Arabidopsis thaliana: one gene and its partners. The protein of the gene in region 3 interacts with the protein of the main gene of each other region in a pairwise test. Each region holds a gene or a part of one and is shown on either strand. Other genes may lie near its edges.

The links.
Region 1: the proteins of AT1G14340 (region 3) and AT3G07670 interact in a two-hybrid assay, tested with the Arabidopsis thaliana proteins (one large-scale study listed by BioGRID).
Region 2: the proteins of AT1G14340 (region 3) and SARA1A interact in a two-hybrid assay, tested with the Arabidopsis thaliana proteins (one large-scale study listed by BioGRID).

What each region holds. Positions count from the first base shown.
Region 1 is NC_003074.8:2,449,637-2,456,096, forward strand, and holds AT3G07670 (Rubisco methyltransferase family protein), read left to right. Parts: upstream 1-1,927; 5' UTR 1,928-2,014; coding exon 2,015-2,398; intron 2,399-2,491; exon of another isoform or gene 2,492-2,559; coding exon 2,560-2,723; intron 2,724-2,801; coding exon 2,802-2,885; intron 2,886-3,033; coding exon 3,034-3,091; intron 3,092-3,245; coding exon 3,246-3,299; intron 3,300-3,547; coding exon 3,548-3,619; intron 3,620-3,720; coding exon 3,721-3,801; intron 3,802-3,983; coding exon 3,984-4,156; intron 4,157-4,259; coding exon 4,260-4,362; intron 4,363-4,448; coding exon 4,449-4,580; intron 4,581-4,671; coding exon 4,672-4,794; intron 4,795-4,894; coding exon 4,895-4,981; 3' UTR 4,982-5,446; downstream 5,447-6,460. Other genes in the region: AT3G07660 (flocculation protein (DUF1296)), read right to left, coding at 571-736; p24beta2 (emp24/gp25L/p24 family/GOLD family protein), read left to right, coding at 5,991-6,188, 6,427-6,460.
Region 2 is NC_003070.9:2,963,238-2,966,986, forward strand, and holds SARA1A (secretion-associated RAS super family 1), read left to right. Parts: upstream 1-1,785; 5' UTR 1,786-1,909; coding exon 1,910-2,038; intron 2,039-2,146; coding exon 2,147-2,278; intron 2,279-2,383; coding exon 2,384-2,704; 3' UTR 2,705-2,735; downstream 2,736-3,749. Other genes in the region: AT1G09176 (uncharacterized protein), read left to right, coding at 915-1,367; AT1G09190 (Tetratricopeptide repeat (TPR)-like superfamily protein), read right to left, coding at 3,026-3,749.
Region 3 is NC_003070.9:4,895,310-4,899,808, forward strand, and holds AT1G14340 (RNA-binding (RRM/RBD/RNP motifs) family protein), read left to right. Parts: upstream 1-2,036; 5' UTR 2,037-2,141; intron 2,142-2,385; 5' UTR 2,386-2,399; coding exon 2,400-2,518; intron 2,519-2,609; coding exon 2,610-2,685; intron 2,686-2,770; coding exon 2,771-2,884; intron 2,885-3,041; coding exon 3,042-3,467; 3' UTR 3,468-3,726; downstream 3,727-4,499. Other genes in the region: AT1G14345 (NAD(P)-linked oxidoreductase superfamily protein), read left to right, coding at 3,867-4,457.

The sequences.
Region 1 (6,460 bases), on a different chromosome or scaffold from region 3:
ATATCCTAGCAACCATCTCTAAATTACATGGTACACAAGCAGGTTACATGAAGCACTCGAAAAGCCTGATGCAATACCACATCTCCAAAGAATCCTATTTTCATAACAATTTGTTTTGGTAAGATGATGAAAATGTGGATTTCTAAGCACTAGATTCATCTACAACGCAGCAGTCTTTGTTTAGAACTCATACCTAGCAAAAGTATTATTCCTAGACAAACCACTCAGAAAAATTCTAGTTAGAAGCTAATTCTCTTTGTTTCACACATCACTAGTGTAAGTAATTGATTCCCGTATATTCCAAATCAATTCGTGAACCTTTTTTTGTGAAAAGGAGGTTACAACACAATATCACATAAACAACTAGAGACAGCTTAAAACTTAATAGGCGAAGAAACCGATGATAGTGAATTCAGATAAAATCTGAAAAAAAAAAATCAAAGAGCAGAGAAATCAGATGCTAAAACCTAAGTTACAGGAGAAAACCCCAAATCGAAAAATACAATCTCGATCCAATCAAAGAAGAGAAATTAGGTAAAGAAAAAAGTGCAGAGAAGGTCGAGATTATACCCTGAAGAAGTAAGCGTTGAGCGGTCTCATCAGGATCCATGTTACATTCATGAAGCATTGCGATAATCTCATCCTCGCTATAGTTCCCAGCAGTGGTCTCCTTAATGTTCTGAATCATCTTCCGAGTAGTAGCCGAAATCGAAACCCTAGCGCCACTGCCGACCATCCTCTCTTCTATCAAACGTAAAATCTCGCTTCTGATATTTTAACAGGAATCGAAATCTGGACCTAGACCAAAAGAGGTCTGAGTACCTATATATGTATACGAAGAGGCGAGTGATAAATCAGTACGAGAGGATGGGATTTGAAACTAGTTTGGGTCGACGAAGGAGAAGAAGAAAGAAGAAGGAACAAGAAAAAAAAAAAAAAAAGAGGAAGGGGGCGAGAGAAAGGAATGAGCAAAATAATACGCACTGTGATTTTGGAAGCGTAGGGCTCTCTTTTCTTTTTTCAATTTTGTTTTGCATTCCTTTGTAGCTTTTTAATATTGAGTTTTTTTGTTTGTTTTAATCTGAATCTTTGGTAAATAATGATAACCAAATTGTTGTCACAATCTTTTTTTGTCCACAAATATATTTAAATTAGGATTTAGGATATCTTCTGAATATTTACACTACATAATAATGACAAACATAAAACATAGTATTTAAGAAAATAAGAAGAAGATAAGTTTTGATTGTAACTTGATCATATTAAATCTCAACTATCTCAAACGATGTTACCCATATCATTATGAGATGAGCGATTTAATGATTAGCATATTATTATTTATATTTTTACATCTCAGTAACGTATTATTGTTTTCTATGTAAATATTTAAATTATCAAATAATTATAATACGTTATTATTATCCCCACCATGATAATTACATATATATTTAATTTACTGAATAAGTTTATTTTTTTTGTCTTTGGTAATTTCTTTTACAATACCAAATTAAAATATTTTAAAAATTGGATTTCAAAAACATAATGAGTTATATGGTTGTCCAAATATTTACCAGGTCCAGTACGCTTTTAGCATTATTAATAGCAATTAGCAACTCTAGGGATTGTCATTTACATAAACAAATCTTCAATTTTTTCATTAATTTTCCTGTGTTTTGGGTCCCTATTGCTTCTAAATTCTAATAAACCGTCCAGATATTGCTGTTATGGAAACAATTTTTCAATAAATCTCATCAACTGATTCTATCAAAATCTAATCACTAGGCTTTTTCCCATTAGCATTAGCGCATAACAAAGTTTTGAATATTAATATCATTATCCATAGGCAGCTTAGATTTTTTTTCCTTAGCATCAAATTAAACTCAAAACCGAACCAAACCGTAAATCCACAAACTAATTTTGGTTCGAATTTAAAAACATTATCTTTTAATTTTGTCATGCCCCCTCTGCTAAGTGCAACCATTCGTCTTCTCGCTTCATCGTTTTCTCTTTTCCGATGGCAAAAGCTTGCCTCTTGCAGTCTACTCTACTCCCAGCTTACTCTCCACTTCACAAACTTCGTAATCAAAACATCACCCTCTCTTTCTCACCGCTTCCGCTGTCCCGATGCCGTCCCGGAATCCACTGCTCAGTTTCGGCCGGTGAGACTACAATACAATCCATGGAGGAAGCTCCGAAGATATCATGGGGATGCGAGATTGATTCACTTGAGAACGCTACTTCTCTTCAGAACTGGCTCTCTGATTCAGGTCTCCCTCCGCAGAAAATGGCTATTGATAGAGTCGACATCGGTGAGCGAGGCCTCGTCGCTTCACAGAATCTCAGAAAAGGAGAGAAATTGCTCTTCGTTCCTCCTTCTCTCGTCATCAGTGCTGATTCCGTAAGTTCACACTCCTAATTTCACTCGGAATCAAAGAATCTAATCTTATATTCCTTGATCTCACTTGCAAGCAATCCCTCACCTCTTGTTCAGATCAATGCAAGGTTAAAGTATCTGGCTTTCATGAATGTGAATATCTAATATCGGAGATTGGGTTTTAGGAATGGACCAACGCAGAAGCTGGTGAAGTGATGAAACGTTATGATGTTCCAGATTGGCCTTTGCTCGCCACTTATCTTATAAGTGAAGCAAGTCTTCAGAAAAGCTCAAGATGGTTTAACTATATCTCAGCTCTTCCCCGACAACCTTACTCGCTTTTATACTGGTAAGTTTTGTACTTGTTTCTGTAGCTGAACTTTGGTCTCAGTTTCTTACTCCCTACAGCCTTTTTGTACTATTTCAGGACTCGGACAGAGCTTGATATGTACTTGGAAGCTTCTCAGATTCGAGAACGGGCAATTGAAAGAATCACCAATGTTGTTGGAACGTGAGATATTGTTCTTTCTTTCTTTCTTTCTCTCAACTGCTGGAAATCATTGATGCAGTCACTAGTACTTATTGTTTGTAGGCTAGGGGGTTGATGATTATGTCTTGCAAGACACTGCTCATGTCTTTTTCCTTTTTCTTTTCCTCAGTTATGAAGATCTAAGAAGCAGGATATTTTCCAAACACCCTCAACTTTTCCCTAAAGAGGTAACTGGTATACGCCCATTTTGCTACAGCTTACTATTTGGACATGTAATAAGATGCACTTCTGTAATTACAACTAGTGTTGGTTCTATTTTATTATCTGAGCTTAAATTTGTTTTGTCCACATGTATATGAGTGTGCTATTTCTTGGTTGCAGGTTTTCAATGATGAGACATTTAAGTGGTCTTTTGGAATCCTATTCTCACGGTTGGTAAGAACTACTGTATCATAAGCAATCATTATCTTGATAATTGATGTAAATCTAGATGTCTTGAATTTGAAACAACAGACTTGTTCTTTAATCTTAGCATGACTTTCTGCATAATATAGCTGTCTCCAACAATTTATTGTTTGAACAATGACCACTCACAACCAAAATATTGCATTATTTCGTTTCTCTTTCCTTCCGTGTGCTGCGTGCTTGTCTCTGCAATTCAGACTTAAGCTTCTCTAACACAGGTGCGGTTGCCTTCTATGGATGGAAGATTTGCCTTAGTTCCATGGGCAGATATGCTTAATCATAATTGTGAGGTACTTCTACTTATCTTTATGACCAATTAGCTCCTAGATTCTCCTAATCAGAAAGCATGATTGACTTATGGTAATCAATATTTCAAAATCTGCTTGGAAAGGTTGAGACGTTCCTGGATTATGATAAATCTTCAAAAGGAGTTGTCTTTACAACAGATCGACCATATCAACCAGGTGAGCAGGTAAATAAGATAAATTCATTCAGATAACCTGAGCGAGCATTGAAGTTTAATATAAGTCAGTGTATAACACAAAGAAGTCCCGTTTACACAGTTTGCCTTTTAGCGCTTCAGTAAGTCAGTCCAAAGTGGAACCAATGTTGTCTGAAGTCTCTGATATGTTTCAGTAACATGACATTGTGCAGGTTTTCATATCCTATGGGAATAAATCTAACGGAGAGCTATTGTTATCTTATGGGTTTGTTCCCAGAGAAGGAACCAATCCTAGTGATTCAGTAGAACTAGCATTATCACTTAGGAAAAACGATAAGTGTTACGAGGAAAAGCTGGATGCTTTAAAGAAACACGGATTATCGACGTATTCCATTCTCCACCATCCATGTTCCCCTCTCAAATTTGTAGATCTCTCTTGATTAACTTGAGTTTTGTTTTGATTGTTTGTGTTAACTTTTCTCTGGCAGACCTCAATGCTTTCCCGTAAGGATAACGGGTTGGCCAATGGAGCTAATGGCATATGCTTATCTTGTGGTGAGCCCTCCAGATATGAGAAACAACTTTGAAGAGGTTTGGCAACTCCATCTTGACCCTTTTTACCATCCAATTCTTCCCAAATTCATAATACATCTCTTATCAATTATTATCCATTTCAGATGGCGAAAGCTGCTTCAAATAAGACATCAACAAAGAATGATCTAAAATATCCTGAAATCGAGGAAGACGCATTGCAGTTCATACTGGACTCATGCGAAACAAGCATATCAAAGTACAGCCGATTTCTAAAGGTAAGTAACAAAACAGCTCATCTCTCTCTCTTTGTGGGAAAATTTTCACTCCATCTGCTTATAGTTTGCTTTGTCAATTATCTAATTGTAGGAAAGTGGATCAATGGATTTGGACATAACATCTCCAAAACAGTTGAACCGAAAAGCGTTTCTGAAACAGCTAGCTGTAGACTTGTCCACTAGTGAGCGCAGGATACTGTACCGTGCTCAATACGTAAGGAACAACTTTCTAGCCAATACGATAGATAAGAGTCTGTGGATCGATCCATGATATTGTGGAATCTGTGTTTTTTTTTTTGTTTTGTTTGGGTCAGATTCTGAGGAGGAGACTGAGAGATATCAGAAGTGGTGAGCTGAAGGCTCTACGGCTCTTCAGTGGACTTAGGAACTTCTTCAAGTGAATGTTGAATGAGGACATTTCAACAGCTTTAAGATGGATCAAAGGTAGGCCTCGTTGTGCTTCAACCAAAAATGTAGTTTTTTATTACAAAAAAATTGAACGTTGGTGTAGGCATGGTTGGATCTGTCTCACTCGTATAGGAATATATTGGTCCAGCCATATATGTAATTTGATCATTTTCTATAAACTCAAAACCTGAACCTAAATTGATTAATTAAGGAAACGCATGAGAGAGTAAGGGTAGAAACATGTTCTTCGTATTTGATCCGAATCGAACTGAAATAATCGATCCAACAAACAAAGATAATTTGAAAATTAAGAATATATCTGACTACAACTCATAACGAAAACCGTACCAAAACTCACACTCCTTGTTACCGCAAACAAGATAATCTGATGGTACACGTCAGAACATTTGTTTCTTTAGCAAAGCAAGTAAACATTCCACTGTGGCAAAGTAAAAAACGAGAAACCTATAAAGTCTTCCTAATGAAACGTACTGATTTTATGGAGTTTCCATTTTCGACATAATATGACGTGGCAATATCTAAATGGTTTAAAGATGTTTTATCTCCAATGATATAACGCCACGTAAGCCCGCTGACCAAATAACCCAAAGAGTAAGCAAGCGACGTCGTTTATAGTTTGATGATCTTGTCGGGTAACGAAACTGCCCCTTGAGTCAAAACAGGCTTCTTCGTGTCCGATTCTGAACGAGCTCGCTCTTTCTCATCCAATTCTCTCCACCGTCTTCTACTCCGATCAATCTTCAAATTTTCTTAACACTCATCGACCAGATCGAGTTTCCATCGATCTAATCAATCAATCATCAGATTTGATCTTCTCAAGAAGGTAAATCCCTCTCACTCTCTGTGTCAAACCTAATCACCTCGTAGGAATCGAAATTGGAACAATTCAATTTGGTTTGGTTTGGAATCTCTAGTCGATTCTTCTTCTAAACGATTGAATTGCGTTTTGTGCTTTGATATAATTCGAAATTATTGTGGCAGATGAGCTTGAAGGGTACGATCGTATTACTAGGGCTCTTATGGAGCTTCCAGGCTACGTTAGGGATTAGATTCGTGATAGACCGTGAAGAATGTTTCTCCCACAAGGCTGAATATGAAGGTGATACGCTTCATGTCTCTTTCGTCGTCATCAAGTCTGACTCTCAATGGCATTTTAACGAGGATGGTGTAGATCTTGTGGTATGACTTTTTTTCTTCTAATTGAACTTTTCTACATTCTACATTGCAAAATCGTCGAAAATCAATAGAATTGGTATTCCTAAACAATGCTTAGGATTTCCATTGTTAATGTTGGTAGATAATTTGAAGTATGTATTGATAAAGAATTTGGTTACTCTTTAAAGCTGTTATATTGTACCATCTGGTTAATTTGGTGGTTGTTGTTGTTGTTGATATATTTTGGATGCATTTTGAATAGATACATGGCCCAACAGGCGAACAAATTCATGACT
Region 2 (3,749 bases), 1.9 Mb from region 3:
ACATCTTTGAATGTGACCCTATTGATAATCCAATTCATTGAAAATTATATACTTCAATTTCTTGTAGACTTTTTTCAATAATATTAATTCTTTTTTTTTCGCTTTGTGATACATTCATGGAGTACATGATACCAACTCATTCAAAAATTGGTGAAGATATAATATTTTAATGGTGTATATAATACACACGATATTGGGAAAAAAACAGACACGTATTACCACGAAGTTATATGTTGCTATATATCGTATAATGCTTGGAAACTTGAGACTAATTAGTTTAGCACCAGTTGGTAACCTGATGTAGATTATTGTAAAATGATCTGTGATGCGTGTTGCGGGTCGTGAACGGAATGAGAAGAGGTAGACATTGTAATAGGTTAGTTTAGTTTGGTCACTTAATGTTGTGTATTGATTATGCCTGGAAAATGAAACCAATGGAACGTAACTAGACTCATTCAGAAATTAAACGAAATGAAACAGAAATTAAAGATAGTAAATAGACCTACTTAAGTTAATGTTTGTGCTTGTAATGATCGTAAAATTGAACATAACAAAAATACATAAAGATAGATTTAGCCAGGCCATATCCAAAATTCTTTTTTTTCCTCGTGGGACCTATGACCCAAGCAAAGTTGTTGGGCCTGTTCATAGCTAAGAAAAAGTTAGTTGGCCTTTCCTTAGGAATTTTTCAAAATTTGATAAATGAGAGGCTCGACACCTTACATAAACGTAAATATTTCGCTAATATTGCTCTATAGTAGACTAGTAGTGGCATCCATTTCTTTTTTCCTAGGAAATGAAGTTAGATTTTAGACGTTGACCAGATGAAATATAAACAGAGATCGTACTACACAAAAGCTCATTTTTTCCTTTTTGGGTTAGAGCGATAAATAAACATAAAAGAAAAGATTAGTATGGAGATACACAGATTCATGAAACGTATGGTTCACGTATTACTATTGTTACTAGCGATTCATGCGCATATCCAAGCCGTTGCTTCAATCACAAATACTTCTGTCTCAGCCGTCCATCTGAAACCTAATTCCATCTTAGGTAACAAAACGTGTTGTAAGATAGATTTCCCGGTTTGGCAGCGGGAGCTTCGAAGCAGCGGTGGTGGCGGTGGAGGAGGTCGTGGTGGTGGTGGAGGTGGCAGCAGTGGTCGAGGCGGCAACAGCGGTAAAGGGGGCAGTAGAGGATCTTCTAATAGCGGCGGCCGTGGCAGCAGTGGAAATGGTAATGGCGGTACCGGTGGTGGCCATTCTGTAGGAAGCGGGGGTGACTGCTTCAAACACCGTGGTCTCACCGGAACTACAATATTTCTCGTCTTCGTAAGCACTTTGATTCTTTATGCGTTGAAACAGTAATTACATGTTATTTTATTTCTGTTTCAAAGTTAAATACTCCATTGTATATACACTTTGATCATGTCTGTTGAACAATAAAAAAAATGTATCCTATGTGTTTGAATTAAATGTGGGTAGCTTTCCTCAGACGGCTCATAATAATAACTTGTGGAGGAAATAAACTCTCCTGGGTCCTGGCCATTAAGGTTTTGCCACGTGGTATTAAGCCTTTAATCTTAAAAAGTTTAACGTAATAAAAAACATCGCAACGACAAGTTCTAGGATCCGACGGTTCATATTGATCGAATGACGATGATGACTACCAATCACAAGGCTCCGCATCAATTTACCAGTCCCCATTACCCACGTGTTTTTTAATTTCTTTTTTTGTTTGCATATATATACACTAATGTTACAACATACAACTATATCTTCATCAACGAAACGAAACTTTGATTTTGGTTTTCTGTTCTGTTCTTCATCTCTCTCTGTCTCCCGATTCTGTTCTGGTGATTTTTTTGGTTGTTGTGTGGATTATAATCCGATATCAGGAAGAAGACGTCATGTTTTTATTCGATTGGTTCTATGGAATCTTGGCCTCGTTAGGGTTGTGCAAAAAAGAGGCGAAAATCTTGTTTTTAGGCCTCGACAATGCCGGAAAAACTACTTTGCTTCACATGCTCAAAGATGAGGTAGGCTTTATTACTTCTACGCTCTCTCTTCAACTAATATATGTATTACTGAGAAATTTTGTGATTCTTGTAATCGAAGATGCTTTAATATCGCTTTTGGTGTTGCAGAGATTAGTTCAGCACCAGCCAACACAGCATCCCACGTCTGAGGAACTTAGCATTGGCAAAATCAACTTCAAGGCCTTTGATTTGGGTGGCCATCAGATTGCTCGTAGGGTTTGGAAAGACTGCTATGCCAAGGTTCACATCCTAATCCTAACTAGATTACATGTTTTGTGTTTATTGATTTGCTTATGATGGAACCAAAATCAAATCTTTCTCTGTGTGTGTGTATAAACTATAAAGGTTGATGCTGTTGTCTACCTAGTGGATGCTTACGACAGGGATAGATTTGTGGAGTCGAAAAGAGAGCTAGACGCTCTTTTATCAGATGAAGCCTTAGCAAATGTTCCCTGTCTTATTCTTGGCAACAAGATTGATATACCTTATGCATCCTCAGAAGATGAGCTTAGGTATTACTTAGGTCTCACCAATTTCACTACCGGTAAAGGCATAGTGAATCTTGAAGACTCTGGTGTTCGTCCCCTTGAGGTCTTCATGTGCAGCATCGTCCGCAAAATGGGTTATGGCGAGGGTTTTAAATGGCTATCTCAGTATATCAAGTAGGAAACCAAGACAGCATTGGTGATTTGCTTCACGTTTTATGAATCAGACATCTCACTCTCTCTATTCTGGTTTTCTTTTAAGTTTTAATAGTAGTAAGTCGACTCCAAACTTCTTGTGCATTATACTATTGGCGTAGTTGTGTTTCTTTGTTGAAAGAAACCGAACAAAACAGATTTTTGTTCTAATCAATTCATTAGAAACTAATCAAACCTGGTGGCCGCATTTTCACCGAGCCAGAAAAATACAAATGTGCTTACAAATGAACTTGATTACCGTATTTAGCAATAAGTCTGGCCTCTATTGACAAAAACCAGCTACTTCTCAGACTGAAACATCGCAAATGGTGCTTTGGCCAGTAGACTTTCTAAGGCGGTTCTTTTTCATCAACGTTCGTACCTTCTCCACATCTTGCCATCTCCCTTCCTCTGCATACAAATTAGATAACAACACATAATTCCCCGAATTCCCTGGCTCAATCTTCACTAACTCCATTGCTGCAACTTCTGCTAGCTTTACATCTCCGTGGCTACGACAAGCACTGAGCAGCGACCCCCACATTGCCGCATTTGCGTTTACGGGCATATTTTTTAGAAACTTAAACGCCTCTGTGATTCTCCCACTTCTACTCATTAGATCTACCATGGCACCGTAATGCTCGGTTCTCGCCTCAAGTTTGAATCTTTCCATCATCAAACCAAACAATTCCTCTCCTCTCTCCACCTGACCTGTGTATGAGCAACATGCCAAAACCCCCAAAAATGTCGCTTCATTTGGAGCTACTTTCCCTTCCTCTATCATAGCATCAAACAAGTCTATCCCAAATTCTCCCTTTCCGTTTACGGCTGATCCCGATATCAATGTGTTCCATGAAACAACGTTTCTACGCTGCATTTTTCTAAATATAGCCGTTGCTGCCTCCAAGTCGCCGCTTTTGCAGTAGAAATCTACCAAAGCGTTTCCCACGGTGATGAAATCTTTAAACAAACCACTGGATTCTGCGGTAGAATGAATCCATTTTCCGGTATCCAACACTCCTAGAGATGCA
Region 3 (4,499 bases):
AGTTGAAGTATTGGTTAATGCTGACCATCAGGCAAATACGAAGAGTAAACAATACATGATTAACATCTAAGAATTGTTTGTTCTGGTTTCGGCCGTTTTAGTTTTCGGTGGATATGGAAAAATGTGTAGAACAAAAAGGTTCAGAACTCCAGAATTCTACCACACAAAAGAAATTGTTTCAGGTTTGACGCTTATAATTTATGATTTGTGGAACAATGACAAAGATTATCATCGACTAATCTTAGAAGACACTTATTAAGAATCACATATGAAAAAAGCTTACTAGATACAAATAATATAATAACAATAAACAAACTCTATTAACAATAGAGGAAAATTGGGAGATATCAACTTGGAATGTGATATTTGAATCGACTAATCGAGTCAATTAAAGACAAAGAAAATTATGATTTAAGAAAAACAGGTGAGTTTGATAAAACACGTTGTAGTCTTGTTGTAGATCTCCGAATTGACGTCAACTCAATATCAAAATCTTTCACTATGAAATTCAAAATCCGAATCAAAACGTCTAACCTAGCTATAGAATATATACATTAGTCAATGGTCAACCTTTTATATTTTATTGTTATAATCATATATGGTGAAGATAATTGTATTTGGAGGACCAATATTCAACTATTTCCTGTAATTTAGAACATTTATTTTTTTCTTAAATATATGTTTTTTGCTTATATATAGTCGCAATTTTTAGAAGTTCCATAATCCATATACTTGAACTTCTAAAGCTATAGTCGCAAGCACCTTATTGTTGTTGTTTAATAAAAGTTCTAATTTTGGTAGACAAGTGAAAAAACAAAATTAAACTATCTGGTGTTTACATATATGAAAAATATACATTTCCAGCAGTGAATTTTGGTTTTGCATGAAAAATACATAAATAGCAATTCACTGCAGCAGGGGTCAGAATATAGAAACATGAACCACACACATAAAAAAAAAGTAGATTCTGACTAGATCAATCTGAATTAAAAACTAGTAAATTTTGACAGACGGACGTGGCCGTGGAAAGAAGTAGAAAGAGACAATGAGAGATGGAGAAAGAGAGACGTAAGTATTGATTTGGCCAACGGCTCATATGCAAAGAATATTAATAATAATAATGTTCTTTGCGTTTTTTTACCAATTACATCAAACATTTGTTAGGCACACGTCTTTTCTTTTTCTCCTTTTTAGTTAAGGGCATCTCCATCCATGAAAAACCCACAAAGTTTCTCAAACAAAAAAAAATTAATATTATATTATAATTTGATTTTTTGATTAAAAAAATATTTTTATTAAAAAGTTGAATCAATAATTAAAAGGGAATTATCATGATGGATTGTAGAGAATATCTCAGAGTTTCTCAAGTAAGAAACTTTCTACTCTCTCTCCTTCATTTTTATTATTTTTATTTTTTAATTGTGAGAAACTCTTATAAAAAACCCCCAATGAAAATGGTCTAACTTTCTTTTCCGTTGAATTTCTCTCATGTATTAACAGTAACATAAGTATTTATATCACATACACTTGTCAAATTTGTCTCTTTAGAGATTTTAAAAAGTTATCACTTAGAGAACTTTTACCTGTTTGGACTTTGGACGGTTAGACAGATAATATCTAAAATTACTCCAATTTTTATATATACATGCAATACTAAGGTATAAAAAAGGTTCTAGAATGTTAAAATCGTTGCTGAAAAAAAACAAAATCGTCTATAGATTGTTAATTTTTGCTTCTTGTACAAACACTTAGTAATGATTAATGATTTAATTTTAATATGTAAAGACTGATTTTTAAAATAAAAAATAGCATAAGATGAAAATTTATGTTTCAAAAAATATTTGTGATTATGGGTTGTTTGAGACTGGAAAATAATCAAACAACATTGGGCCTTTCATGTAGAATTTTTTATTACATTTAGAACCGTTAACGATATGGGCTAACTCAAGACATTAAAGGCCCAACATTGAGTTACTAAACGGCGCAGTTTTTAGCTTTTTAAAATTGCGTCTTTTTCGTTCACTGAAAAGGTAGTCCTTCTCTTTCCCACTCACATCATCAACTTCATCAATTCATCACCTTTGTCTCTCTTTCAAGCTTCTCTGTGTGTGATCTCCGTTGGTCAACAACAACTACAACAGGTAACTTCTATTCTTCGATTCCTTAAATTTCTTCTCTAGAGCTTAGTGAATCAACGATTTAGGTCTGAACATATTTGGCAATCTGTCCTTGCTCAAATTTCGCTTGAAAATTTCAATCCCAAATCATGTAAAGCTAAATCGGAAAGTTCTATGTAGTTCCCAAAGTTGAATCACGAACTGGAAGTAATTTAATTTATTGACTTAGGATATGTTGAAATTTTTAGGTTTTTTGTTTTGTTTTTAGCTTATTGAGCAGAGATGGATCATCAATTTGGATATGGTGTTGAAGTTACTGGGTTATCTCCATCTGTTACTCATAATGATCTTATCGATTTCTTCTCTTTCTCTGGTACTATCCAAGATATTGATATTGTCAGGTGAGTCTTTTTACTTTTTAGCAAGTTTGTTGTTTGTTTGCTTATTCTGGATTCAAAAGAGTACACTTTGTAATGTTGTTAATGAGACTAGGTCGGGTGAGCAAGCTTGTACTGCTTATGTGATGTTTAAGGATTCTTATTCTCAAGAAACTGCTGTTTTACTCACTGTAAGTGTTAGTTTGGATTTGATTCACTCTTTCTATCTTTTTTGGATGTCTCTTGAGAAATCACTCACTTCTTTGATATCTTCAGGGCGCAACGATATTGGATCAGCGTGTTTGTATAACTCGTTGGGGACAACATCACGAAGAGTTCGATTTCTGGAATGCGACTTCGCGAGGTTTTGAAGATGAATCGGACTCACAAGTATGTATCGCTTTTGACACTTCTCTCAACTTTGATCTTTCTGTCTTCTTTTTTTGTTAAAATAGTTAAATCTAACGGTCACTGGTTCAGTAGTCTTTATGTTGAAGTTTGATGCTTGGTCTCAATTCTAAAGCTTATTCGTTCTTCAATCATGTAGCATTATGCTCAACGAAGCGAGTTCAACGCTGGAGAAGCAGTGACAAAAGCTCAAGAAGTGGTGAAAATAATGCTTGCCACAGGATTCGTGCTAGGCAAAGACGCTTTAAGCAAAGCTAAAGCCTTTGATGAATCCCACGGCGTATCAGCTGCAGCGGTGGCTAGAGTATCTCAACTAGAACAGAGGATTGGTCTTACTGACAAAATCTTTACCGGACTTGAAGCTGTTAGAATGACTGACCAAAGGTATCATGTTTCAGATACAGCTAAATCAGCTGTCTTTGCCACAGGAAGAACCGCGGCAGCAGCTGCAACTAGTGTTGTCAATAGCAGTTACTTCTCCAGCGGAGCTCTTTGGCTGTCTGGTGCATTAGAGAGAGCTGCTAAAGCCGCATCTGATCTCGGTACCCGCGGCTCAAGGCAGTGAATAGACCAATGGCCCGATTCAGAACCGTATTCGTCTGTGAATATATATGATGCAAAGCTGATCATGAATAACTGGCTCATGAAGTGTGATAAGACCAAATTTTATCAAAACGAATACCATATAGAAATCTATCAAAGTATACTCTCACATGATGATGCTGATATAGAGTTTGGTTACATTACCTACATCTTAACTCTTCATTAGTAGCATAATCTTTTTTCTTATATAATTTCTGATTTATATCATTCTATGGTTGATATTGATTCAATATTTGGATAGATGTTGTATCCATAGAGCTTAGGCCACGTGGCACAATTTGCGCCAAAAAATCAAATCCAAAAAACAGAGAAGTCATCATCTTTTCACTCCAAATCTTCCAGTCACTCAAATCATTCTCTCATGGCAGCTTCTTCCTCAATTCCGCCGTCAACCGCCGTAACCTCCGTCGTTCGCAAATCTCTCCTCCTCTCAACCACCTTCTCCTTCCCCGCTTCTTCATTGTCTCCCTCCACGAAACTACCACAAAGACACATTCAAAGATTGCTCCTAGCTTCCTCCTCCGCATCCGCATCCACCGTTCCTTCCGATTCCAAACCGGCGAAGAAAGAAACAGTCTACTTCGACGGCGGAGCTCATTACGGAGATCTATTAGCCAATCTCATTCTAGGTCTAACCATCCTTTGGCTCCCACTAACCTTAGCTGCAGTGTCTCGAGCTTTTAACCTTCGTTACAGGTTCACTAACCTCCGCGTGACGGTTATTTCGGGACTCACCGGAGATGATCGGAGCGATTTCTCGTACAAAGTGATAAAAGACGTTCAAGTTGTGCCGAGGTTCATCGGAGAATGGGGAGATATCATCATTACTTTGAAAGATGGAACTAAAGTGGATTTGAGAAGTGTCCCTAAGTTCAGAGAGATTGCTAAGTACTGTTTATCTATGGCTGATCAACCTGCTGTTTTGAAAGAATCTGGTGCTAAAGGCTTTTGATTATTTCTCATTTCTGGGCAAAATTGATTCTTCTTGTTGTGA